Linked DNA regions of Sus scrofa. The protein of the gene in region 3 purifies or fractionates together with the protein of the main gene of each other region. This does not show direct contact. Links are inferred from orthologs where the notes say so. Each region holds a gene or a part of one and is shown on either strand. Other genes may lie near its edges.

Evidence for each region.
Region 1: the proteins of NSF (region 3) and SCFD1 purify together in Homo sapiens (affinity purification with mass spectrometry; 3 studies listed by BioGRID and IntAct, with this or other methods). This does not show direct contact. The link is inferred for Sus scrofa from reciprocal best matches to the Homo sapiens genes NSF and SCFD1.
Region 2: the proteins of NSF (region 3) and NAPG purify together in Homo sapiens (affinity purification with mass spectrometry; 3 studies listed by BioGRID and IntAct, with this or other methods). This does not show direct contact. The link is inferred for Sus scrofa from reciprocal best matches to the Homo sapiens genes NSF and NAPG.
Region 4: the proteins of NSF (region 3) and STX6 purify together in Homo sapiens (affinity purification with mass spectrometry; 3 studies listed by BioGRID and IntAct, with this or other methods). This does not show direct contact. The link is inferred for Sus scrofa from reciprocal best matches to the Homo sapiens genes NSF and STX6.
Region 5: the proteins of NSF (region 3) and STX12 purify together in Homo sapiens (co-immunoprecipitation; 4 studies listed by BioGRID and IntAct, with this or other methods). This does not show direct contact. The link is inferred for Sus scrofa from reciprocal best matches to the Homo sapiens genes NSF and STX12.

Annotation. Positions count from the first base shown.
Region 1 is NC_010449.5:68,847,912-68,852,919, forward strand, and holds the start of SCFD1 (sec1 family domain-containing protein 1), read right to left. Parts: upstream 3,145-5,008; 5' UTR 3,065-3,144; coding exon 3,007-3,064; intron 1-3,006. UniProt on the Homo sapiens protein: Plays a role in SNARE-pin assembly and Golgi-to-ER retrograde transport via its interaction with COG4. Involved in vesicular transport between the endoplasmic reticulum and the Golgi.
Region 2 is NC_010448.4:97,960,627-97,965,596, forward strand, and holds the end of NAPG (gamma-soluble NSF attachment protein), read right to left. Parts: intron 4,730-4,970; coding exon 4,651-4,729; intron 3,847-4,650; coding exon 3,767-3,846; intron 3,003-3,766; coding exon 2,873-3,002; intron 2,586-2,872; coding exon 2,436-2,585; 3' UTR 1,923-2,435; coding exon of another isoform or gene 1,464-1,922; 3' UTR 681-1,463; downstream 1-680. Other genes in the region: uncharacterized protein LOC110261162, read right to left, coding at 1,464-1,922. UniProt on the Homo sapiens protein: Required for vesicular transport between the endoplasmic reticulum and the Golgi apparatus.
Region 3 is NC_010454.4:17,615,605-17,619,906, reverse strand, and holds part of NSF (vesicle-fusing ATPase), read right to left. Parts: intron 2,522-4,302; coding exon 2,387-2,521; intron 1,040-2,386; coding exon 926-1,039; intron 1-925.
Region 4 is NC_010451.4:122,577,360-122,582,424, reverse strand, and holds the start of STX6 (syntaxin-6), read left to right. Parts: upstream 1-1,851; 5' UTR 1,852-2,058; coding exon 2,059-2,093; intron 2,094-5,065. UniProt on the Homo sapiens protein: SNARE promoting movement of transport vesicles to target membranes. Targets endosomes to the trans-Golgi network, and may therefore function in retrograde trafficking.
Region 5 is NC_010448.4:84,949,190-84,953,491, reverse strand, and holds part of STX12 (syntaxin-12), read right to left. Parts: intron 2,459-4,302; coding exon 2,353-2,458; intron 1-2,352. UniProt on the Homo sapiens protein: SNARE promoting fusion of transport vesicles with target membranes. Together with SNARE STX6, promotes movement of vesicles from endosomes to the cell membrane, and may therefore function in the endocytic recycling pathway.

The DNA.
Region 1 (5,008 bases), on a different chromosome or scaffold from region 3:
ACTTTCACCCTCACCTGGAATGTTTTTTCTTTGCTCACTATATATTCAACTACACGTACTATCACTCAGCAAATGTTTAGTGAGTGTTTGCCACCTGCCAGACATAGCTCTAGCTGTTGGTACTAAACAAAATGGACTGAATAAAAGTGACCTATCTTCAAGTAACTGTCATTCTAGCTGGGGGAGAAAGACAACAAAATAGTAAAACATATGATACGTGAGATCATGATAAGTGCTATGAAGGAAAACAGGGGAGGAAGGAGGAAGAGGGAGTTGTGAATTTTAACTTAAGTAGTCAGGAGAGGCCTCCTGAGAAGGTAACATTTGAATAATGACCTACAGGAGGTGACGGAGTGAGCCATGCAGATATCTCTGAAAGAGTATTCCAGAAAGAACACAAAAAGGCTCTGAAGTGGAGCACTCTGGTGTGTTCAAGGAAAGGGGAGAGTAAAAGGGATTGAATCAGAAAGTTAAGTGGAGAGCAGATCATACAGAGCCTTGTAGACCACTGTCAGATTGCTTTGGCTTTTACCATGATTGAAACAGGGAAACTAATAAATGACTTAAAGTGCTAGAGAGTTTTGAGCAAATATGTAACATGATCACTTGGGATACTATGTGAAGAAAAATGAAGGGAAACAGAGTTTTAAAAGCAAGGAGACCAAATAGGAGATTACTGCAGAAACTCATGGTGGCTTGGACCTGTGTGATAAAGGTCAGATTCTAGGCGAATTTTCAGAGCAAAGCTGGCAAGATTTACTGACAGATCTGATGTGAGATATAAATGACAGAAGTCAAGAAAGTGTCAAGGTTTTTGACCTGAACAACCACAAGAATGGAGTTGTCATTACTTGATATGGGGTAGACTGAGTCTGAGGAGAGGTCCAGGCTAGAAATATAAACGTGGGGATCATAGCATATAGAAAGTACTGAAAGCCAAGAAGCTACATGAGATCACTGTAAGAGAGAAAGCAGTTGATTTGGGGTTCTCCTCTAAGAAATGGGAGAGTTGAGCAAGAACCTGCAACAGAGAGGCATGCATGAATGACAACGGTAACATAGGATTCTGCCTGTTGAACTAAAGGATAAGACTAGAGTGTTTCAGGAAACTGTAACAAAAGACATGATTTTTGAAGTGACTTTAAAAGATGAATAAAGACTCTTCAGGCAGGCAAAGCAAAAAACTGGCTAGTTAAACTTTCTATAACTTAATTACCTGGAAAATGGAGATAAAAATACATGTAAAAATCACTTAAAACAGTCTCTGACAATACTAAATGTTCAATAAATATCAGCTATTATCTACCCAAATAGACTGCAAACTCCTTTGTACCAGAGTCTTATATCTAGAATATTTAAGAATCAACTGTGATCTATTTTCCAAAACATTCTCAATGGGCATCAGGCAAATGTTTACTTCTGCCACTACAGCACATATAAAGATGTCTGCCTTTCTCCCAAAATAAGACAGAACTCAACTGTAGTACTAATTTGATAAATCTGGAATAACCTATGTAGTAATGATGTGAAATATTGCTACAATTAAATTTATTACTGCAGAAATCCAAATTATGTGCTATTAGATTTTAATATTCTACAAAGTTTCTGCATATAAAAATTACTAACAAATTTAATTTTTCAAAAAGCTCCTTTATATTGGCATAAAGTCTTTCTTAACATGTTTTTTATTTTAATATGCAGTATGACCTAATTCACTGAGGTTCAGTAAGATGTTGGAACCATACTGCAAAGACAAGTGGGGTTTCTATTTGTTTATACAAATAAAATGAATGGCAGGTATTCCTCAAATTTTATTTGGACTTTCATGTATTTAAGTTATGCCTGACTTCATCTGATAGTTTACACTAAATTATCCATTGGTGGAAAGCAGAACATAACTCATTATGCACTGTGTATCATTACTACATTAAGGTCTACCATTAATTTTTTCTTTGAATTCCAAAGGAAGGAATCAAGCATAGCCAAAATCCTTTCTATAGACCATATTAATTGTAATCAGTTGTTTTCCTACACAGATTTATATGCAAAAGAACATAATTACAAGAGACAGAATTTCCAAATATGCATATTCTTGATGGCTTATTTCTACTAGCTCCTCAGAATTAACAGTTTGCCAATTTTCGAGACAATTAGCTAACAGGTATAATCCATTAGTTTGTAGCTAACAGGTATAAACCAAGTTGTCATCACAAGTTTCCAAAAAATATGGCAAAACTAAAATTATCTAAGATGGAAAAAATACCAAAGCTCAAAGAGAAGGAATGTGTATTTTTTAAAACCGTATTTCACAATATACACAGGAGCTATATAATTACGTTCTATTAAACATGAAACTAATAACGCATAGTTTAAGAACACTAATTTGCCAAATAATTAAAATGGGAAAGGTTAATTCATTTATTTTGCCATTCTTATACCTCATTCCAGCATGCTGAAGACAGAAATCTTTTAACACTGAGCATTTCTCATCTGGTACCCCCAAAGATTGGTCCAAAGGAGAGAAATGGCAGAATGTAATCTGCTCTGAAAAGAACACTTAAATTTTGTTATTGTGGTGGAAGTGCCGGAAGATGCAACTCTAAATATTGAAATGGGAGAAAACTGAACCATGCACAGAAACAAATCCGAAAGACCTCATAGGCAGCAACACAGGGAGGGGAAATGCCAGCTGCTAAATCTTGTCGTAAAGGCCTTCTGAGGTCCAGTAGGAAAGCGACAAGTGCAGGACAGGACCGTAGCAACCTGCTCACCCGAGAAGCCACTTCTCTGGCACCACTTCCGAGGGCCGAGTTTTCAAGCTAATGGAATCTCTTCCCTAAAAACTCAAGAGGGGAGGGGCTCTCGATGCTCGGAGAACAGGATTAAACTTTTGAAGGTCCACCTCTGAGCTGCACGCACCGCGACCGAGTGAGGGCGACAAGCATAGGAAGCTTGTCCTCACTGCAAGCATGAAACCTCAGGGAAGAGAAGAGAATAAGTCGGTACCTGTTTGTCTCTCGCGAATACTTGCTGCCGCGGCCGCCGCCATCTTGACTCCCACCATTCACTGCCCGGCTGGCAAGCGGAGCCTGTGGATGACGTGGCCGCCCCGACCGCCCCGGAAGCAAAGCCCGGAGGGGCGGGATCATAGAAGGCCGAGCCCCGCCTCCCCTACGGTGACCCTTCCGTACCCTCAGCAACAAAACTTGCCGAACAAAGAATGAGGGAATCATTTTTGGACACCTAGGCAGTTTACTTTTCGGAGGCGGAACAGTGGGAATTTTTATCCTATCAAGCCGCAGGTTCTTAAAGAGTAGCTGCCTTAAATTGAGCTCTTAGGGTAGAAACGTGTTGTAGTGCCAAGAACATATTGACTGTTAGTTTGGTCGTTTGCATATCTCTTAAGTGTGATAATACTCCTGGGGCTTAAGGGTCACAGGACTAAAGTAAATGAAGCTCCTGGAACAAAATCGGCACTTAAATGCCAGCTCCCTTTTCTTTTTACCAGCGCAGCTTGTTTCCCTTTTGCTCCCCTTTCCAGGGAAACGGTCAGCTTTGGTGTATTGCTCTCATTTGGCAGATTTCTCAACCTCACGTGCAGGTGTCTTCTTAATGTACGCTTAAAGCCATGTGATAACAAAATATATCCGATATTGATGACTTCTAATCCATAGATTTTTTATTGGATGTCAAAAATGGACACACAACTCTGTGCATTAGCTATTGTTTGTTCTGAAGCTGCACCAAATTCTGAAATTACAGACCCTGTACCTTAAAAACTGGTTTGAAAACTTAAATTTTCAAATTTTTGAGACTATGTTTAACAATTACATAAACAGCAAAATCTATAATAAAACACTACTCCACAAATAAGTTTTTATGAAACTTAAGACTGATAACCTTAATGTCATCAGGGAACACCCTAGAACTGAATCTATTTTTTTTTCCTTCCATATTTTTTTCAGCTTTATTGAGAGTGTAATTGACAAAAGTGGAAAGATCCTTGAAATGTACAGTGACAATTTGATATATATACACATACATTATGAAATAATGTCCCTCCATCTAGTTAACTATCACATCTATCAACTCACATATTTTTCTTTGTGTGTGAAAAATACTGATTTCTCCTCTTAGCAAATTTCATGTATACAATATAGTTATATCTAGGAGTTCCCATTGTGGCTCAGCTGGTTATGAAGCCAACTAATAGCCATGATTAAATGAGTTCAATCCCTAGCCTTGCACAGTAAGTTAAGGTTCTGGCATTGCTGTGAACTGTGGTGTAGGTCACAGACATGGCTGGGATCCGGTGTTGTGTGGCCAAAGAGCTGCAGCTCTGATTTGACCTCTAGCCTGGGAACTTCCATATGCTGCAGGTGCGGCCCTAAAAAGCAAACAAAACAGTTATCAACTATAGTCACCATGTTATATATTAGATGCTCACACCTTATTCATCTTATAGCTGAAAGCTTTTTACTGTTTCATACATGTGGAATTTAAAATATTAAAGTTAAAACTCATGGAAACAGCAGAAAAATCACTATCATTTTTACAGCTAATTGGCATATTCAATAAGAAATTAACTGGAATATTTACTGCTTTATTCAGTGTTATCAGTAATATTTTGAAGGAATCACCAATGAACTAGGTGTGCTATAATTAAACAGAAATGAGAGTTCCTGTGCTATGTGAAAGTTTTACTTCATTTTTTGTTTTCATGGAATATATAATAAACAGGCTTTCCCACCTTCAACATCTGAGAGCCTAATCTTGTTCATTTTGGTGCTTCCACTTTCAAGTGCAAATCTATAATGTAACCATTTCAGCTCCAGTATAGACCTCCCAAAATTTGAGTCATACTGATATGAAATAAGACATATTTAATGTTTATATACAGCATATACATTTGAAATGATAAAAACTGTCTTGACCAAAGAGTGCACAGTGTGGGCAAACAAATGTATAAAAAAATATGTCCCACAGAACAGTGGCAGTAAACATAGCT
Region 2 (4,970 bases), on a different chromosome or scaffold from region 3:
CTTAAATTCTGCATAAAGTTAAAGCCGGGACCAAGCCTTTTACTGACACCACCAAGATGAAACCTGGGGGGGCGGGCAGAGGGACATGGTGGTTTTCCTTCCCAGCTTCACACACACACACATCAGGGGACCAGAGCCCACTCACAGCTCCAAGGTGTCCCAAGGGAACCAAAACCGCGCCGTCCAACGGCACTCCCTACACCTAGCACTCCAATTTCTACCACTCCTGGTATCGAACTCTATTACCGATCCCCATTCTCCGGAAGACAGAGCATTACACAGCGTGCCCTCTGACCGAGTAAATCCCCTGCAACTAAGGTGCGAACCGTGTATAAATGCAAACACTGCCACTTCCGTTTTCTTACCTCCTGCTGTACTGTTACCTCCCTTAACTCAGTGAAGGACATGTTCTCTTGGAGGGTGTACTGAAGTGTCGCCCCCGTAAGTACAGAGAGCAAGTACCACAGTAACTGGAGGATTGATGGGCACCTTCCAAAGGTCCGGAGTTTAAAGTACCCCCCAAAGGAGCTTACCTGACTCCCAGGGCAGGATGCACAACCTGGATGAACAGACTGTTCTTATCTAACGCAGTTGGAAGCATGTAAAGAGTGGAGAATGTGTTTTTGAAACAAAGGACATGAGCAAAGCAAAATGAATGATAATAATGAAAAGAATAATCGTACTTATATAGTTTCAGATTTTATTTTCATAATTATCTTCCTAAAGGAGCAATAATCTGCATTTCCATAACACATTTAATATTCTATTCACCAAAGAGCTGGAAAAAAGACCAGGGATAAAGCAGTTTTTATACACAAATAGCATCCTCTGCATATGTACAGATGAATTCGACATACAAAGTGTGCCTTGTGGACTGAGTGCACTGACAACACCGCGGAACACTGACTGTCAGACTCGGTGTAAACACGTCTTCACTTCCCACCGTACTCGGGACAAAGGCCTACATAGTGGAAAAATGAGAGGCTCTCTCTTCACGAACAGCCCCGACCTCGGGGAACAGCCACGAGCCCCGCAACTTCGTAACCTGGCCTGGGACAGGGGAGGGGGGTGGAGGTCGCACTGGATCACTGCTCATTTTTGACTAACATGTAAGAAAGAGTAAAAATAAAACTTTCCCTAGGCTGTAATGGAGAATGTGGTCTATAAAAGATGGTCTAAAATATCTTTTCAGTGTTGCCAAACCTCTTTAAATGGATTGTTCATTAGCTCAAATGCACCTCAGCACAAGACTCCTGAGGTTTCTGGTGGATCGGGATTGGGGGGGGGGTGTCTCTGAAACATTAACACAATGCCAAACACAAACGCCTAAATCTGCTTTCCTGAGATGGTTCAGTTTGCCTCCAGTCTGCAGGTGGCGGCTGCCCGCAGAACCACTCAAGGACTGGAGGGGGCAGGACACTGATTAGTGTTTGCACCCGACCTTCGATGACAATCTCCACCCTTCAGTCCACCCGCCTGAGCACACTGGCCAGCTCTCCCACGGAGCCCAGGGGGACGGGACCTCCCGTGATGACCGCCTCAGCATCCCCGGAGGCCAGCACACCGAGCTCCCTGTGCTGGCACAGACAGGTGGGGGCGGGAGCGTGGGCCCTTCCTGTGCAAGAGAGGGGGTCTGAGCACAGGGCGGAGGCCTGCGAAGGAGGGACGCGGGCTGGGATATAGACAGCACCTCCCCCACGACCCAGAGGCCACTCAGGGGGAAGAAACATGGATGCCAGGCTGAGAGGAAGCGCTGCACTGCCGGGACGCGTGAGCAAGCCCGTGTTAGTTCCCGTGCAGTCAGGAAGCCAGGGGGTTCGGAGACAGTCACGGTGCACGTGCGGGTGGAAGAGAGAAGACACCACAGACTCGCCGTACTGTGCTCTCTCACAGACTTCCAGGCGACTCCGCACGCACCTCATCCTGGGACAAACAGCAGGCAGGGCTCAAACAGCTTCCTGCCCCAATATCACTTCTGAAGGTCTAATAATTTAAATATACCTAATATCACGGGGGAGAAATTTCCTTTTGAAAACGAACATTTAAAACACTATTTTGTTTAACCAGTAAACGTCACTTTTAGCAGCAATTATTAAATAAAACGCAAAACAACTTCTCTAACAGGAAATCACAAGAGCCCAAGAGAGAGGAGGCCCTCCGCCTAGTAATGCTTTGTTTAGAACAAATGTGTCTGAATTTGGTTTGCGATTATAAAATCAACTGCATGAAAATGTGACAGTGACTTCTCTGCTCACTCCTGCGGGTGTCTGACAAGAGCTTTATCATGAAGAGAAAAAAATGGTTCACGGGCAGCGGGCACGATGGGTGGTCCAGACGCGGGAATGAGGCTCATCTGCACCAACATCAGGACCAGGGCCTCGGGATCTGGGCACCCCCAACGTCAGCTCAGGTACCTGAGGTGGGGGACACTGAGCCTAGCACAGGCCCCCTGCATACTCATCCTCCTCCTCCTCAGCAGGGGCGGCGGGGGCAGGGGCGCCCTCTGGCTGAGCTTGTGGAGGGGCTGCCACCTTCTTCTTGACTCCACCTCCAGGGACCACCAGGCTCAGGCCCAGCTTCGCATACTGTCAAGGACAAAGCTCGTCTAAGACTGGACGACCCGGACGACCAGATGCGAACAGGCGACACCTGTGCGACAGAGCCTGGCCCTCCGAGAGCCTAGCCACCACTGTGATGCATCAACCACCACAAATCCCAGCGCCATTCAGCTGGCTCATGGCCGGGATGGGACAGGGACACGACACCCAGACACAGGAATGTGGGACAACTGAGCTAAGAGATGCTGGAGTCCCTGTGAAATACGGTCTGTTCCGTGTTAGGAAGCCCGGTCCCCGGAGAGGGAAGGACTTACATCATTGTCCATGTACTTGAACAGGGGCGAGTTGCAGACCTCGGACACCTGGTCCTGGTCCTGCTGGTCGTAGCCCTCCAGAAGCTGCTCCAGAGCCGCACAGTCTTCACTGCCGTTGAAGCCGGGGATGCTGGGGGAAGACCAGGGCACGTCTGTGTCTGTTCCCCACAGAGCGGCCCCCACCCAGGTGACAACATCTAAGGACACTGCCGATCGTACAAGTGAGGAGGCCTGGCAGGCTGGACATCCTACAACACCCCGGATGGCCAACAGCAAAGACTCGGGGCGCCTGGACTCAGGGTGCCCAGACTCAGATGCCCTGCTCACTTAAAACTTCGCCTCCAAGGAAAGCCCTTAGCCCAAGCTCCTCACAACACAGTGTGAGCACTGCCCTCTTATCCTTTTTTTCTTGGTGAATATCACGAATTCAATCAAGTCATTCACTTTCGTGGCAGCCCCCAGGAGAAAAACATATGAAAGAACACAACTCATAAAAATCCCACTGCTGGAGTTGCCATTGTAGCGCAGTAGAAATGAATCTGACTAGCATCTGTGATGACACAGGCTTGATCCCTGGCCTCCATCAGTGGGTTAAGGATCTGACATTGCCACAAGCTATGGTGTAGGTTGAAGACACAGCTCAGATCCCACACTGCTGTGGCTGTGGTGTAGGCCAGCGGCTACAGCTCCAATTTGGCCCCTAGCCTGGGAACCTCCATACACCACGGGGGTGGCCTTAAAAAGCAAAAACAACAACAACAAAAATCCCACTGATAAGCTGGAATGGTTGCCAGGCACTCCCATCCTCTGAAATCTATTTAAAAACAAAACAAAACCCAGGACTGTTGGCCCAAGCTGAGTGTCAGGAACAGCTGTGAGCTGGTGGTGGCTCACCTGTAACTCTCCCGGACGCAGCGCTCGGCGGCCACATAGTCGTTTCTGTGGAGATGAACTAAGACTTGGGCAATTGTTTTCTGAAACAAAAGAGGCGATTATGGGCCATGTTTATATCCATGCAGAAAAGACAATTTCCTGACGGCTGGAGTTTAACGTTCAATCTCAGTCTGTGCCTAGAGAGATTTGTAATCCCCCTGTCACCTCAACAAGACCCCGGCAGAACATCCCAGAATAGCACACCTCGAGCTCCAGTGTGCACACTCCACCCAGGGTCTCCTTGAAGAGATGGCAGGGTCAGTGGCTGAGGGAGCCTCTCATACTGGCTCCCAGGTGGTGCCGGTACCCAATCCAAGAACCACATTCAGAGACATGGCCACCGAGAAAAACCATCACATGTTATAAAGGAAGTTTCTTCCAGGCACCTACACAGGTTTAATCTCAAAAAGGGAACAAGTAAGAGGGGGCCCATAACGCAGCAATTCTACCCCAAAATCCTTAGAGGGACAGAAGGACAAGATGAATGAGTGGAAACTTCACAGAACAGACGCAACGGTACTATTCACTTAACAAAGGATTAATGAGAACACAGGACTGGTAAGATCGTATTGGCAAGACAGCTCTTCCATCTTTTTATGGTCATTTTTGAGATGACTTATTGATCCATCTTTAAGTTCCCTGAGTCTTCTGTCGTCTCCATTTTCAGATTAAGCCCATCCAGTATTTTACTTCAGACACTGCTTTTTCAGTCAAAAATTCTAATTTATTTCATTTATAGTTTCCAGTAAAAAAAGAAAACACATATTCATGGAACCTGGTCTTAGGCACAGTCACACCACCATGAAATCTAAGGTAAAGCTAAAACAAGCGTCTTCAAAGCATACCTTATAACAAGTTGGGTAATTCTCAATCTCCTTATAAATATTTTTTTCTTTCTGAATAGAGAGTGCCGCCTCATCGAACCTAAACACAAAACAAGAAAAATAAGACAGGCAGGTCCATGTGACCCAGAGAGAGGTCAGTGTTGTGCTGGATCTGACGTTACAGACTTTACAGAGAGAAAGACGCCATCCGGCACCTCAGCAGCTGCCCCACAACCGTGTTCCATGGCCTTTAAATGCTCCACCGGCCCTTCGAGATATCAAGCAGCAAAGCAGAAGACAGGTCGCTTCACACAGGGAGTTTTCAGTCTGGGGGTGGAGAG
Region 3 (4,302 bases):
CAAAAAGAAGAAAGCTAAGTTGCCAGAGGATGTGAGAAAGTCCCAAAGAAGCTTCATCTGTTTTTGCCCAGGCAGTAGCCTGGGGCTTAGTTTTCTATGTGATCCTGGACAATTCAACCCCGCAGCAGTTTGCCTGAAATTATGAGGAACCCAGCCAGGGGAAAATATACAGAGCCCAAGTCTAATCCATACAACTCACTTCCCCTGGCCCTTGAGGCCATCTCCAGGGCCCTTCTGGTGTCTGTGCAGTAGCTTCCTGACCTCTGATGGACAACGCCATCCCCTCTCCTTCGACAACTGGCAGTGACCTTGGATAACTCACTGACAATCTGTGGGACACTCAATAACCTCCCTTCTAAAATGAGAGGCAGCAGAACAATTGTTCTTTCAAGTCTTTCCTAGTTCTAGGATCTAATGCTACCTACACTAAAACTTAGAGTAACTTTATCTTTTATTTATTTTATTTTTGCTATTTCTTGGGCCGCTCCCGCGGCATATGGAGGTTCCCAGGCTAGGGGTCCAATTGGAGCTGTAGCTGTCGGCCTAGGCCAGAGCCACAGCAACTCGGGATCCGAGCCACGTCTGCAACCTACACCACAGCTCACGGCAACGCCGGATCCTTAACCCACTGAGCAAGGGCAGGGATTGAACCCGCAACCTCATGGTTCCTAGTCGGATTCGTTAACCACTGCACCACGACGGGAACTCCTATCTTTTATTTTTGCATTTTAAGAAGTGGGAAAGCAAAGTACCAACAGGTTACTGTTTGATCTCAGAAGTGGGCTCCTAACACTGACTTGAGTTTGGAAATAACATAAGGGAATTATAACTTAATTAAAACCTTCGTGAGAGGAAATGATAAAACCTCTCTGCATATATCCTGAAGCTTCTATGTCTGAGCCACATGGCGAAGGCAGCATCTTACCTGCAGGGACATCTCGATCAACATTAGTAACTTCTTGATCCCGATCCAGACCTTCTTCCCTTTGACTTGCTGTGCAATTGTGGTACGTTCCTTATCCTTGAAGTTGCCCAACAGCTATGTGAACAATAAAAAAACAAAAAACGAAAGCACCTCTATGAGTGCCTCAACGGCAGTAGTTAATTCTCATACTTACCCTTGAAAGAGGAGTGCTAAGAACTACCTGACTGGTTCAAGCTGATAGAATTCTCTCAGAACTTTAAAATCCAACCTGACTTTTCTGAGTCCAGTAGGTACAATTCTGAAAATGAAAATTGGTATCCTAAGCCCTGTTTTCCTATGGACGGTCATTATAATTTAGAGACATATTTGCTGGGGGAAAAAGAGCTCCAATCCTTAATAAATATCAGTTAAAATTCTTAACATTCCTTTCTAGGAATAATCTGTATGTGTCAAAGCAGAATAAATTTAATTTCTCTTACTCAACTCCAGCACAAAAACTGCACAAATAGGTAACCCAAAGACATATATCATATGGGTTCTCTTCCTTTCTTTCTCTCTCTCTCTCTCTTTGCTTTTCAGGGCCACACTCATGGCATATGAAAGTTCCCAGGCTACAGGTTGAATCGCAGCTGCAGCTGCTGGCCTACACCACAGCAACACATGATCCAAGCAGCATCTGTGACCTACACCATAGCTCATGGCAACACCAGATCCTTAAGCCACTGAGTGAGACCACGGATCGAACCCGTGTCCTCTGGATACTAGTCAGATTCGTTTCCACTGTGCCACGAAGGGAACACTCGATAATTTGCTTCGTTGGGTGTTTGCCCCAACGGTATAGGTCTTGAGGATTTTAAGAAGTTCCTGAATCTACCACAGCTGAATAGTCACTGGATGTTTGCTAACAGATCTGATCAAGTCATTTGTACACACTGATATTAATGGAAAGTTTAATAAAGGACTTTAAAAAAAAAATTTAAAGACTCATTCTCAAAAAATGTGAGCAATCACTTCCATGTCATGAACTTGTTAATAAAGGTCTTTTTAAGAAGTTTCTAAGGTTTTAATTGTTATTCCAATGTATTAAACACAAGTAAATGGGCTGAAAGCTAGTCTGAATAACTGAATTTTTCATATATTGATTACTTGACTCCCCTTCCTCTATTTCACGTTTCTGGTTCATGTCATCTATACATTACTCAGGCTGGGCATGAGACTATTCATTCCTGGCAGTTTGTATGCTGCTGAAACTGAGGAATGAGAAATTACTTCCCTCTCACTTACATTTATTTCTTCTAATTCCTGAAAATGATTCTGGAGGTACACCCTCAGTTCCATGTTCCAGGTTAACACAGAAACTGAACACCAGGTGCTCAGTTTGAAGGTGCCCAACACCTTAGCACTGATTCCAGCCTCAACTCCTTTCTTTAAACAGTGTGCAATCCACTGACTCATCCTCACCTCCAAAGCCTCTAGCAGCTGCTCTCCCGTGGCGATGTTGGGCACGTGGATGGTGGTGCTGAAAGCGTTAAGCATCTCCATCTCCTGAAGGACATCTTTGCGGCTAGTGGTCCCGATGATAAGAAGCTTGCGGCCCTGATCATGGGGAGAAAATGTGTTAAAACACACAGGAGAAGACTGGTTAGGAAACTAGAGTAAACCTGAACAAGAGTCATTTATTTAATTGCAGAAATGTGAATGATTACACAAAAGAGAAGGAAAAAATTCAGAATTTTGCTCTGGGAAATCTAAAAGTATCAACAACGTGACTCAGAAAGAGCATCGCTTTCTTCAGAACTTGGTCCAGAAAGAGGCAACTGCTCTTACTCCTCATTCATATCAATAAAATAATGGATGAGTAAACCAGGAAGACACACAAACCAGATAGAAAGATACCTTAGCATATGTTTGTAATTCATGTTTCACAGCGAATACGGTATATGTATGGCTGGAAAAAAAAAATGAATGAATGGAAAGTCCACACCACCCACTTAGCAAGGCTTTATGCTTTTTAGAAGGATTAGGGTAATAATAATATATTTATGCAACAGTTAACTGTGAGAGGCACAGTGCTAAGTGCTTTACAAAATTGTCTCACTTAATATTTTAAAATTGCATTTTAATTTTTAACCCCCAAATAGTCAAGAAATGTTTAAAAACTACACCTGGCTTAGGCCACCATTCCTGCTTCCCTCTCTGAGAGGGAACCATTTTCACCTCTTAGTTTTTCTTCTTGTATTTACTTCCTGATCTTTAAATAACAAGGTTATAGTATTCTATGTAGATTTTTCTTTTCAGTTTAAATGTTATTTCCTGAATTCCTGTTATGGAAGATGGAGATTTGATATTAATTTTGCACTTATCCCCTATCTCCAATATGTCCCTTTTCATGTCCATCCAATATAGTTATTTCAGTCTTTGGTTAAATTAATTAATTAATTTTCTGCTTTCTAGGGCTACACCTGCGGCCTATGGAGATTCCCAGGCTACGGGTCTAATCAGAGCTACAGCCACGGCAACGTGGGTTCCGAACCGTGTCTGTGACCTACACCACAGCTCACGGCAATGTCCAATCCTTAACCCACTGAACGAGGCCAGGGATCGAACCCCCAACCTCATGGTTCCTAGTGGGATTTGTTTCCACTGAGCCACGATGGGAACTCCCTGGCTAAATTTATATGTAGTATTTACGATGATAATATAAATATGACTTATGGCCAAGCCATGTAGTGTACTATTAAATTCCCTTTCTTGGGCAACACTTTGTTTTTATTAGAGTTAAGAATTGCCATTTCCCCCTTTGCTTAGTTTACTAGGTGCCTATCACAATTTTATCCCCAAATAAATGCAGCCATAATATCCTTTTAATACGTTCTAACATGTTAGGGGATTTTAAAGTTTTGGGTGTTTTTTCTTGAAGACAGCCTCCTCTTGGAGGCCTCTGTTCTCCAGGCCTGGTGCACAGCTGTTACTCTAGAACTTTCCTCTCCTCTCTTACATACCCTTTATCTTAGCCTTCCTTTTTTTTTTTTTCCCCCCCGCTTATCCCCTCTTTTCTGGGGTACATATACTTCAAAAGCTTCCTGAGGAAGGGTGTATGGCAGGTGAAATTAAGACCTTACATGTCTGGACATGCCTTTATCCCACCCTTAATACTGTATATTCCCTTTATACTGGATAGTTTGGCTTGGGATAGAGAATAGGTAAGAAATAATTGTCCTCTCAGAATGTTCAAGGGCTTATTCTATTGTCTTTTAATTTTCAGTGTTGCTGACTAGAAGACTGATACTATTCTGATTTTCTGACTCATTGTTTCTAACTTTGAAAAAAGATTTAATTTAAAAGAATCTTTTCTTTATCCCCATGCTATAATTTCA
Region 4 (5,065 bases), on a different chromosome or scaffold from region 3:
CAATAATCAGGAAGTAGCAGAACTGGGATTCAAACCCAAGTAATCTGGTTGCAACTCTGGATCTTAATCACCATTCTCATCTCAATTTCCATGTGTTTGTTGAATGAATGAAAGATGATCCCTTTTCAATTCCTCACCTCAATATGTTCAGAACTGAAACAGTTCTCTTCCAGGAGGGTTCCCCCCCACATCTGACCTCCATCGCTCCTCCAGGGTCTTGGAGAAGCCTGGAGTCTTTGACTTTTACCTCTTTCCTCCCTGATCCCATTCAATCTCTCATCAAGTCTAGTTGTTTTGTTTTGTTTTTCCTTGGAAACATCTATCAGATTCTCTCCTTCCTCTCCATTTACAATCCCTGCTGTCCTGGTCTAGTCCTCATCCCTTCAGGTGAGATGACCACAGCAGCTTCCAGACTGGTTTCCCTAACTTCACTTCCTCACTCTGTGGGAGACTTGGGGTTTCCAGGCTTTTTTTTTTTTTTTTTTCCCCTTTTAGAGCTGCACCTGCAGCACGTGTAATTTCCAGGCTAGTGGTCGAATAGGAGCTGCAGCTGCTGGCTTATGCTGCACTTCAAGGCAACTCTGGATCCTTAATCCACTGAGCGTGGCTAGGGATGGAACCCACATCCTCATGGATACTAGTTGGGTTCTTAACCCCACTGAGTCACAACAGGAACTCCATCTAGCCATTTTTATTTAAACTTCACAACAATCTATGAGCTAAATATTCATATTTTATAGATGAGAGACTGAATAACAGAACCCAGGTTCAAACAGGGTTTGTCTGGCTCTGAGGACTCTTCTATCTTCAAAAAGACTGCTAACTTTAAGCCAGTCACTTAAATTCCAAGTCTCAGATTTCTTATCTGTATAATGGGGATTACAACATTGTGAGAGCACCTGAGATAAACTAAGCTCAGTGCCTGCCACACAGTATGTGCTCAATGATAATCAGCAATTAAAGTTCGCAAAACCCATAGACTATCTAGCGTATGAGTTTGATAAACTGTTCTGACCAAAAGGCTTCCTGGAAGAGCTCTTGAACCACTTAGCTGGTAAGAAGTTGCCAGACCTGGCCCCTTCTTTGTCCTTCAAAAATGCTCTCTTCCAGGAAGCACCATATGCTGTATGAAAAAATTATCTTACTGATCACTTCAAGAACACAGAAAAGACAAAAAACGCAACACACACAAAAACACATCCTAGCCTGGTGGAAAGTGCACAGAATCTGGGGCTCTGCCCTGTCCAGGTTGTGTGAGCACAAGAAATCTTGAAACCTATATGAATTTTTCTAATCTGCAAAATGGGAATAATAATACCTTCCCCTCCAAGGATACTGAGATAACTCACAGCCTTCAGCGTCTTGCTGGGCACTATAAGACCCACAGAAAGGAGTTGTGCAACATTATCAGAGTCAGATAAGGTAGACGAGCTTTATTCTAAGTCGAGGACGAGATGGATTTCTAAATCTATATGTTATCAAAATAAGTATCAAAAGGAGAGGAAAGGTGAAAAGATTGTGCAAAGCTGATACTATCTCCGTATCTAGGAAACCTGACTACCTTTCTTGCCAGGGAACAAGCAGCTCCTCCCCCTGAATCTTGAGAGGTGAGTGTTGAGAAGACCCGCCCTCTCCGCCGCCGCCAGAGCCCCGCCTCCAGGGTCGAGTAACGCAAGGCCCAGGCCCTGCTGATGGGGGGTGGGGGGGGCTCTGGTCACGTGAGCGCGAGTGCGGAAGTGGTGCGGCTGACGGCGTTCGTGATTGGTCGAGGCTGAGGGACCTGGGGGCGGGGCCAAGCGGCCGGACGCGCCGGGAGGAGCCGAGGAGGGGGCCGCGCCGGGGCCGGCGCCAGAGTCACGGCTTCGGTCTGAGGTGCAGACAGAGTACTGGACCCGCGGCGGGCCGGTGCACCCCTGCCTGCGCGCGCAGCCGCTACAGGTCCCGCAGGCCGAGACGCGGGCTGCTGCGCGAGGCGGGTGGGGTGGGCAGAGGGAGATTGGGAGGGCGCGGGCGCCCTGTGCGCAGAGCAGGCGTGAGGCGGCCGGGGGCCGGGACGCCATGTCCATGGAGGACCCCTTCTTTGTGGTGAAAGGGTGAGTGTCGTAGGGGGCTCCACTGGAGGAGGCGGCGGCAGTGCTGCCTGCCCTCACCTCCCCGCTTTTCTCGCTCTAGGGGGAGGGGAGACAAGTAGAGTCTGGCGTGGGGACCGCTTAGCCTTGAGGGCTATGATAAAGCGTCCAGAGACATCCCCTCTTCGTGCTACCTGGACTTTGAAACCGTGCCCCCAGTCAAGCCCCTGGGGAGGGGGGGGGTCTCCTTTGGCTTGTGCGCCGTTCTACAACTTATGGAGGGGTGTCGAGGGGTTCAGCAGCTCCTCAGGTGGGGAGGGAGACAGGCGTCCCAGACCAAAGTGGGGCTGTAGTGGAGCACCGGGCCCTGCTTTGAAGGGGGAAAAACAGCATCTGGGCAGGAAAAGGGAAATGGGCCTCCTGAGCTTTGTAGTTGGCGTGGACGGGGGTGAGCTCCCATTGTCCATTGAGTTCGGAGCGCTGGCCCGCTGACTGGCGAGACCACAACAAGCCCAGAGGCGTCTGAGCACGTTTGCAGGCTGGGAGGCGGGGGCGCGAGGCTCCGGAAGACAACTCTATTCAGTGGGGGAGTTTTTACCGAGTAATGGGAGGGGAGGAAAGCTGCTGTTCAAACTCAGTGGTGATGTTGGAAGGAAAACAAAATGAAATCAGCCAAACCAAACTTTCCTTAGCTTTCTGTTAGCACAGGGATTTTCCCACAGTGCTAAAGGAAATGAGTGCTTTCTTTTTAACTCCCTGATTTCATCCAGGCTATTTGACAGGTTTCCCCCATTTCTTCTTTTTTCTGCCTTTGAGACTAGAGCTGTCCTAACTTATTTTTCCCTAAGAAGTGTCGTGACTCCATCTTTGATTGCTCAATTGTTTGTTTGGAGATAGAAGCTTTAACTGCACTCTGTTATATAGGCTTTGTAGCCATTAAACAAATGCAGAAAAGATTGATTCTGTTGTTATAACTTGTCAGCTTTTGTTTTAAATGTCAAACAAAACAATCTGAGAACTGCAACGTTCTGGAAAAATCAGTGCCAATGACCTTAAAGTGCCTCTGCTTTCAACTAGTTGCTACTAGCTTCCTATTTCTGTAGGGGTAAAAGTTGACCAGTTGCTTGAGTGTTATTTTTTTTTTTTTACGGTTCATTTTACAAAATTTAAATGGTACTTTAAGTTAAATACTTTATTACCCATGATACAGTTAAATATATTTATGTATTTCTAACATTGCCTTTAAAAGTTTTTTTTTAACCTGACTTTAATATAAATGGAAAAACGCTGAGTTTAGATTATTGGTAATATGTGGCTCTCTACCTGGAAAATGTGTGGTTTATTAGGATTGATTTTTAGGGGATAATTTTTAAATGTGAAAACTGTTTTTTCCTTGAGTGAACGTTCTTAATGCTTAGGGTTGCAAAGGTTATCTCTGGCTGTGGAGACTGTAGATAATCAGAATTTTAAAATTTTTAATGGGATTTGTGAAAATGCAAAATTGTTTTGCCATCTTGACTTTTTTTTTCTTGATGGTAGCCAGTGCAGTTCACCAGTGCTTGCTCACTGATTAGATATCACTGCTTTATTGGAACATTGGCCTTGAGTCTTGCTTGACTTTGACATCATTTTAGCTCATGTTCTTAAGATGTCAAAACCTTCTGCTTTGTGGGAGTTCCCGTTGTGGCGCAGTGCAAATGGATCCAGCTAGTATCCATGAGGACATGGGTTCCATCCCTGGCCTCACTCAGTGGGTTAAGGATCTGGCATTGCTATGAGCTGTGGTGTAGGTCACAGATGAGGCTTGGATCTGGCTTTGTTGTGGCTGTGGTATAGGCCGGCACCTGTAGCTACAATTCAGACCCCTGGCCTGGAGGGAACTGCCATATGCCACAGGTGCAGCCCTTAAAAGAAAAAGAAAAAAAACCCTTCTGCTGTGGAAAAGTAAAATTAGCTACATGAGTGCCTCCACAATGTGTGAGGGAATGTATGGAGCCATGTATCTCTGCTTATTGAAAGTTTTGAAAATGCACCCCACGATGTGGAAAAATTAAAGATGCTTGAATTGTGGCCCTTAGCCTAGGAGCTGGTAGTCTAATCTGAAAAAAACTTACCCCCAAATTAAGTAGAAATGACAGGTGGTAAGTGATCAAATGCTGTAGCCTAGGAGCTGGTAGTCTAATCTGAAAAACAACTTACCCCCAAATTAAGTAGAAATGACAGGTGGTAAGTGATCAAATGCTGAAGTGAATGCTACAGAAGATTAGGTGCCCCAGTAGTCCGGAGAAAGGCATCTCATTAGGAATGGCTGTGGTTGGAAAAGCTTTGGAGGTAGTAGTATGTCTTAGGTTTTGAAGATGGGTAGCTCTTAGATAATTCAGCCTGTGTCTCTTCTGGACTATTGGCAAGAAGAGTATCCATTTGGTCCTCTTGCTCCCAATCCCTTTCCTCTTTCATCTATCTTAGTTCTGCTGGCTGGGTGCTCTCCAGTATGCCGGTGTGAGCCACACATGCCGTGTTACATTGCCTAGTAGATGCAGTAAAAAGTAAAAGACAAGTGAAATTAATTTTAATGTCATCTTTAACCAGTATACTCAAAATATTTCAACATGTGATGAATATAAAGACTGTTAATGAAAGATTTTTCCCTTTTTGTACTACGTCTTAAAAATCCGGCGAGTATTTTGTACTTAGAGCACATCTCAATTTGGACACTAAATTTTCATCAGAAACACTTGATCTTTATTTGGAGTTCATTAAACACACAGTTCAAAGTGCGGATTGATGTACCCAGATTGTTCCACGTATACTTTCAGAATTTTTGGTAGCTGAAGTGTATATCAGTTTTTAAAGTTAAATTAAAATGTAAAATTTAGGAGTTCCCATCGTGGCTCAGTGGTTAATGAATCCGACTAGGAACCATGAGGTTGCGGGTTCGATCCCTGCCCTTGCTCGGTGGGTTAAGGATCCGGTGTTGCCGTGAGCTGTGGTGTAGG
Region 5 (4,302 bases), on a different chromosome or scaffold from region 3:
GGGGCTGGTTGCCAGGGAACCAACCAGGTGATTAGATGGTTGGAACTTTCTGCCCCAATCTTGACCTCTGGGGAGAGAAGGGAGGGCTTGAAGTTAAATCAATTACCAAGTGCCAATTATTTATTTATTTATTTATTTTTGTCTTTTTTCCTTTTCTAGGGCCGCTCCCACGGCATGTGGAGGTTCCCAGGCTAGGGGTCTAATCGGAGCTGTAGCCACCGGCCTACACCAAAGCCACAGCAACGCAGGATCCGAGCTGCATCTGCGACCTACACCACAGCTCACAGCAATGCCAGATTGTTAACCCACTGAGCAAGACCAGGGATCAAACCGGCAACCACATGGTTCTTAGTCGGATTCGTTAACCACTTAGCCATGACAGGAACTCCCAGTTATTTAATCAATCATGCCCAAGGGACAGGGTTCTGAGAGCTTCTTGGTTGGTGAACACCTGGAGAGGGCACAGAAGTTCTGTGCCCCTTCCTACAAACTCTGCCCTGTGCCTCTCTGCCATCTGGCTGTTCCTGAGATGTATCCTTTTATAATAAACTGGTAATCTAGGGAGTAAGCTGTTTTCTTGAGTTGTGTGAACTGCTCTAGCAAATTAATCAAACTAAAGGAAGGTGATCACAAGAACCTCCATGTCAGTCAGAACCACAGGGGACAATCTGGACTTGTGACTGGTATCTGAAGTTGTGTGTCTGTGTGTATGTGTGTGCGTGTCCTGTGGGACTGAAACCTCAACCTGTGTGATCCGATGTAACTAACTCCAGGTAGAAAGCGTCAGCATTGAGTTAAATTAGGACATCCCTGTGGTGTGGCAGAATTGCTTGATGGGGAAAAAACCCACACATTTGGGGGCCAGAAGTGTCAAGGTATAGTCTGAGAACAGAAGAGACACACAGGAGTGTGTTACTCCACCATTAGAATAGGGTTTGTATGTTAAATGCAGGAAATGACTGGATATGAAAATCCAGCCCTAAGGAATCTGGCCTTAATTCTGTTGAATGTGCAGTGCCCACTACACTCCTGACATACACTGCAGTCCACTCCTTAACCCTAACTCTACCCCTGCTATAACAGTATTTCTAATGTTAAAGAATCAAGCTGATGATTAGGAGCAATAGGTGAAAAAGAGAAAAAGAGTTCCTGCTGTGGCACAGTGAGTTAAGAATCCAACTGCAGCGGTTTGTGTCGCAGCAGAGGCACAAGTTCCATCCCCGAGCTGGTGCAGTAGGTTAAAGGATCTGGTGTTCTGCACCTGTGGCTCGAATTCAATCCCTGGCCCAGGAACTTCCCAATACCTCTGGTGCGGCCATTAAAAAGGGGGTGGGGGGGAAGGAAAGATATGACATCTTTGAAGGCAATAAAAATTGTTTAAATCTCCAAATAATTCTAAAATGCAGTCAGGGTTCAGAACCACTGCCACAGATGAAGGTCAGTGAAGAGCTCCAAGTTTCTCTCTACAACCCTCCTCTCCCCACTGCCCCAGGGATGGCAGTCTTCTATCTCCATGAGAAAAGTTCTTGGGTTTAAGGATATTTTACTGGTCATTGTGCAAAATTAAAGTTGGGGAACTCAGCTAAGAAAGGCCTCAATACCTCTCCCTCAACACCTACCTCAGAAACTGTTCCTATTTCTCTGACCCACTGAGGTGATATCCACAACTTGAGAGTGAACTTTGGGATGCACAAAAACGGAGCAAACATTTTGGCCTGCCTTTATTTGGGGCTATTCGGTCTAAGCTCTCTGCAGAGCTCTACCAAACCCAGAGGTTGGCACTGAGGTTCAGAGATAGCGTCTTTTTTTTCTTCTTTTTGCCATTTCTTGGGCCGCTCCCTGGCATATGGAGGTTCCCAGGCTAGGGGTCGAATAAGAGCTGAAGCCGCCAGCCTACACCAGAGCCACAATAACGCAGGATCCGAGCCACGTCTGCGACTTACACCACAGCTCACGGCAACGCCAGTTCCTTAACCCACTGAGTGAGGCTGGGGATCAAACCCGCACCTCATGGTTCCTAGTCGGATTCGTTTCCGCTGTGCCAAGATGGGAACTCTGGAGACAGCGTCTTAATGAGCAATAAAATATCTGTTTGCCTTGCTCTATTCCCTATACATACTCTCATGCAGACCATATAAGATATGATGACTGAGAAAAGAATTGGGGTATTCTCAGACATGATAGCCAATACTGTCGTAAGAGTAGTTCAAGCTCACCATGATTACCTTGAGACATAATATGCAAACTACACAACAACTCATTTCGTCTTTTTTCATAATCACCAAGAGAAAAAGCAAGGTGGATTAGAGATTACAGATACGAGTCAGACAAAAAACATGACCTGGTTCTCACCTCTAGCTGCCGAATCGCTGTTTCCCTCTCTTTAATGAGTTCCAGATCCTGTTCGGTGATGGCCACCTCATCCTCCTGGCTCTGCATCTGGTTCCACTCCTCATGGCTGCAGGGCGACAAGCACATTAGCTGATTCCTCCTCTCTAAGGTGCCAGCAAAGCCCCCCCAAAGACAGTACCAGGGTTCCAACTCCTCTGGCATCAGTACAAGGCCCTGAAGGCCACATTCTTCATCACCAGAAGCAAAGAGCTGGTAACACCAAGAAAATAAAGTCTTAGCTTTCATGGGTAAAACTAAGAGGAAGTAGAATTGTGACAGATGAGACCTGTTGCTGTTTCCATTCAGGGGTACACTCTGCAATCTTGCTGGGGCTTGCTAGACAAGCAGTGGGCAGAGATTTGAAGTCAACAAAGTAAACTAGCCTATTCTCTCCCAGGTCACTCTCAAAGTGCAAGCTGTGTTGGTCTCTCAGGTCCTACATGAGATCCTTAGAGGAGAGCAGGCTAAGCGACCTGTTGGTGCTTCACCAACTAGTCCAACAGAATCACATCTCCTGGTTTTCAGGAATCTCCTTGAGGTTACGCTTTAGGTTAAATGACTGTAAAATCAAAGTAAATCTAAGTAAAAAGCTAGTGAAATACAACTCTTCTTTTCAGGTACCATATTTAGAAGAAAGGCATATGACACATTATACTAGACCCAGAACACTTTGCAAATCCAGTGTTAAGTATTTTTCCAACAGTACGCATAAATCACACATTATCTCAACAATATTTAAAGAATTTCCTCCATGTGCTGGAGATAAAAAAACTGACTTAGAGGCTTTTGAGGTACTCATAGTATAGTGGGGGGAAGATAATATCTCTGATAAAACATTTTACATTTTGAACTAATACCATCAGTACATTTCTGTGCAATTAGTTAATTCAGTGTGGAGAAGTTAAGAAAGGAGATAGCTTTCAGATACAAACTGTTTTTCCTTTCCCAGCCACACTCAAGGCATATGGAAGTTCCCAGGCCAAGGACTGAATCCAAGCTGCAGCTGTGACTTACACAACAACTGTGGCAAGGCTAGATCCTTATCCAGCTGTGCCAGAGCAGGAACTCCTGCTTTTTCTTTTAATACTCTTTGAAGAATGTGTTGCCTCCATTTCAGAGAAAAGTAAACAGAGACCCAAGAACTTTGAAGAACTTAATTCTGAACTAGAGGTAAAATTATTTAGACCTCCTAATCTGTAGATTTGTGGGTTCATATCTACTCCTAGTGAGCTAAACACTTTTCCCAACACAGAGATATCAGAGATTTCTTAGAAGTTTTTTATTCACTTGAAATTATTCCTTCCATAACTTAAAGATCTTAGAAAAGCCCACAATTTTGATGTTTTTATTTGGGGGATTATAAATTACCCACCATAGGGCTCCCTTTATTCTTCCTTCTTTTTTCTCATTGTTTTTTTTTGTTTGTTTGTTTTTTCGCTTTTTAGGGCCAAATTCACGGCATATGGAGGTTCCCAGGCTGGGGTCCAATTGAAGCTATAGCCGCTGGCCTACACCACAGCTCACGGCAACACCAGATCCTTAATCCAATGAGCGAGGCCAGGGATCAAACCCGCAACCTCATGGTTCCTAGTCGGATTCGTTAACCACTGCACCACGATGGGAACTCTGGTCTTTTTATCTTTTTAGGGCCACACCCACAGCATATGGAGGTTCCCAGGCTAGGGAGCTGTAGCTGCCAGCCTCCACCACAGCCATAGCAACGCCATATCCGAGCCGCGTCTGCGACCTACACCACAGCTAATGGCAACGCCAGATCCTTAACCCACTGAGCAAGGCCAGAGATCAAACCTGCAACCTCATGGTTTCTAATGGGATTCGTTTCCACTGCGCCACAACAGGAACTCCTTCCCGATGATTTTTAAAATTAAAAGTAAGTGTAAAGTATAAAAT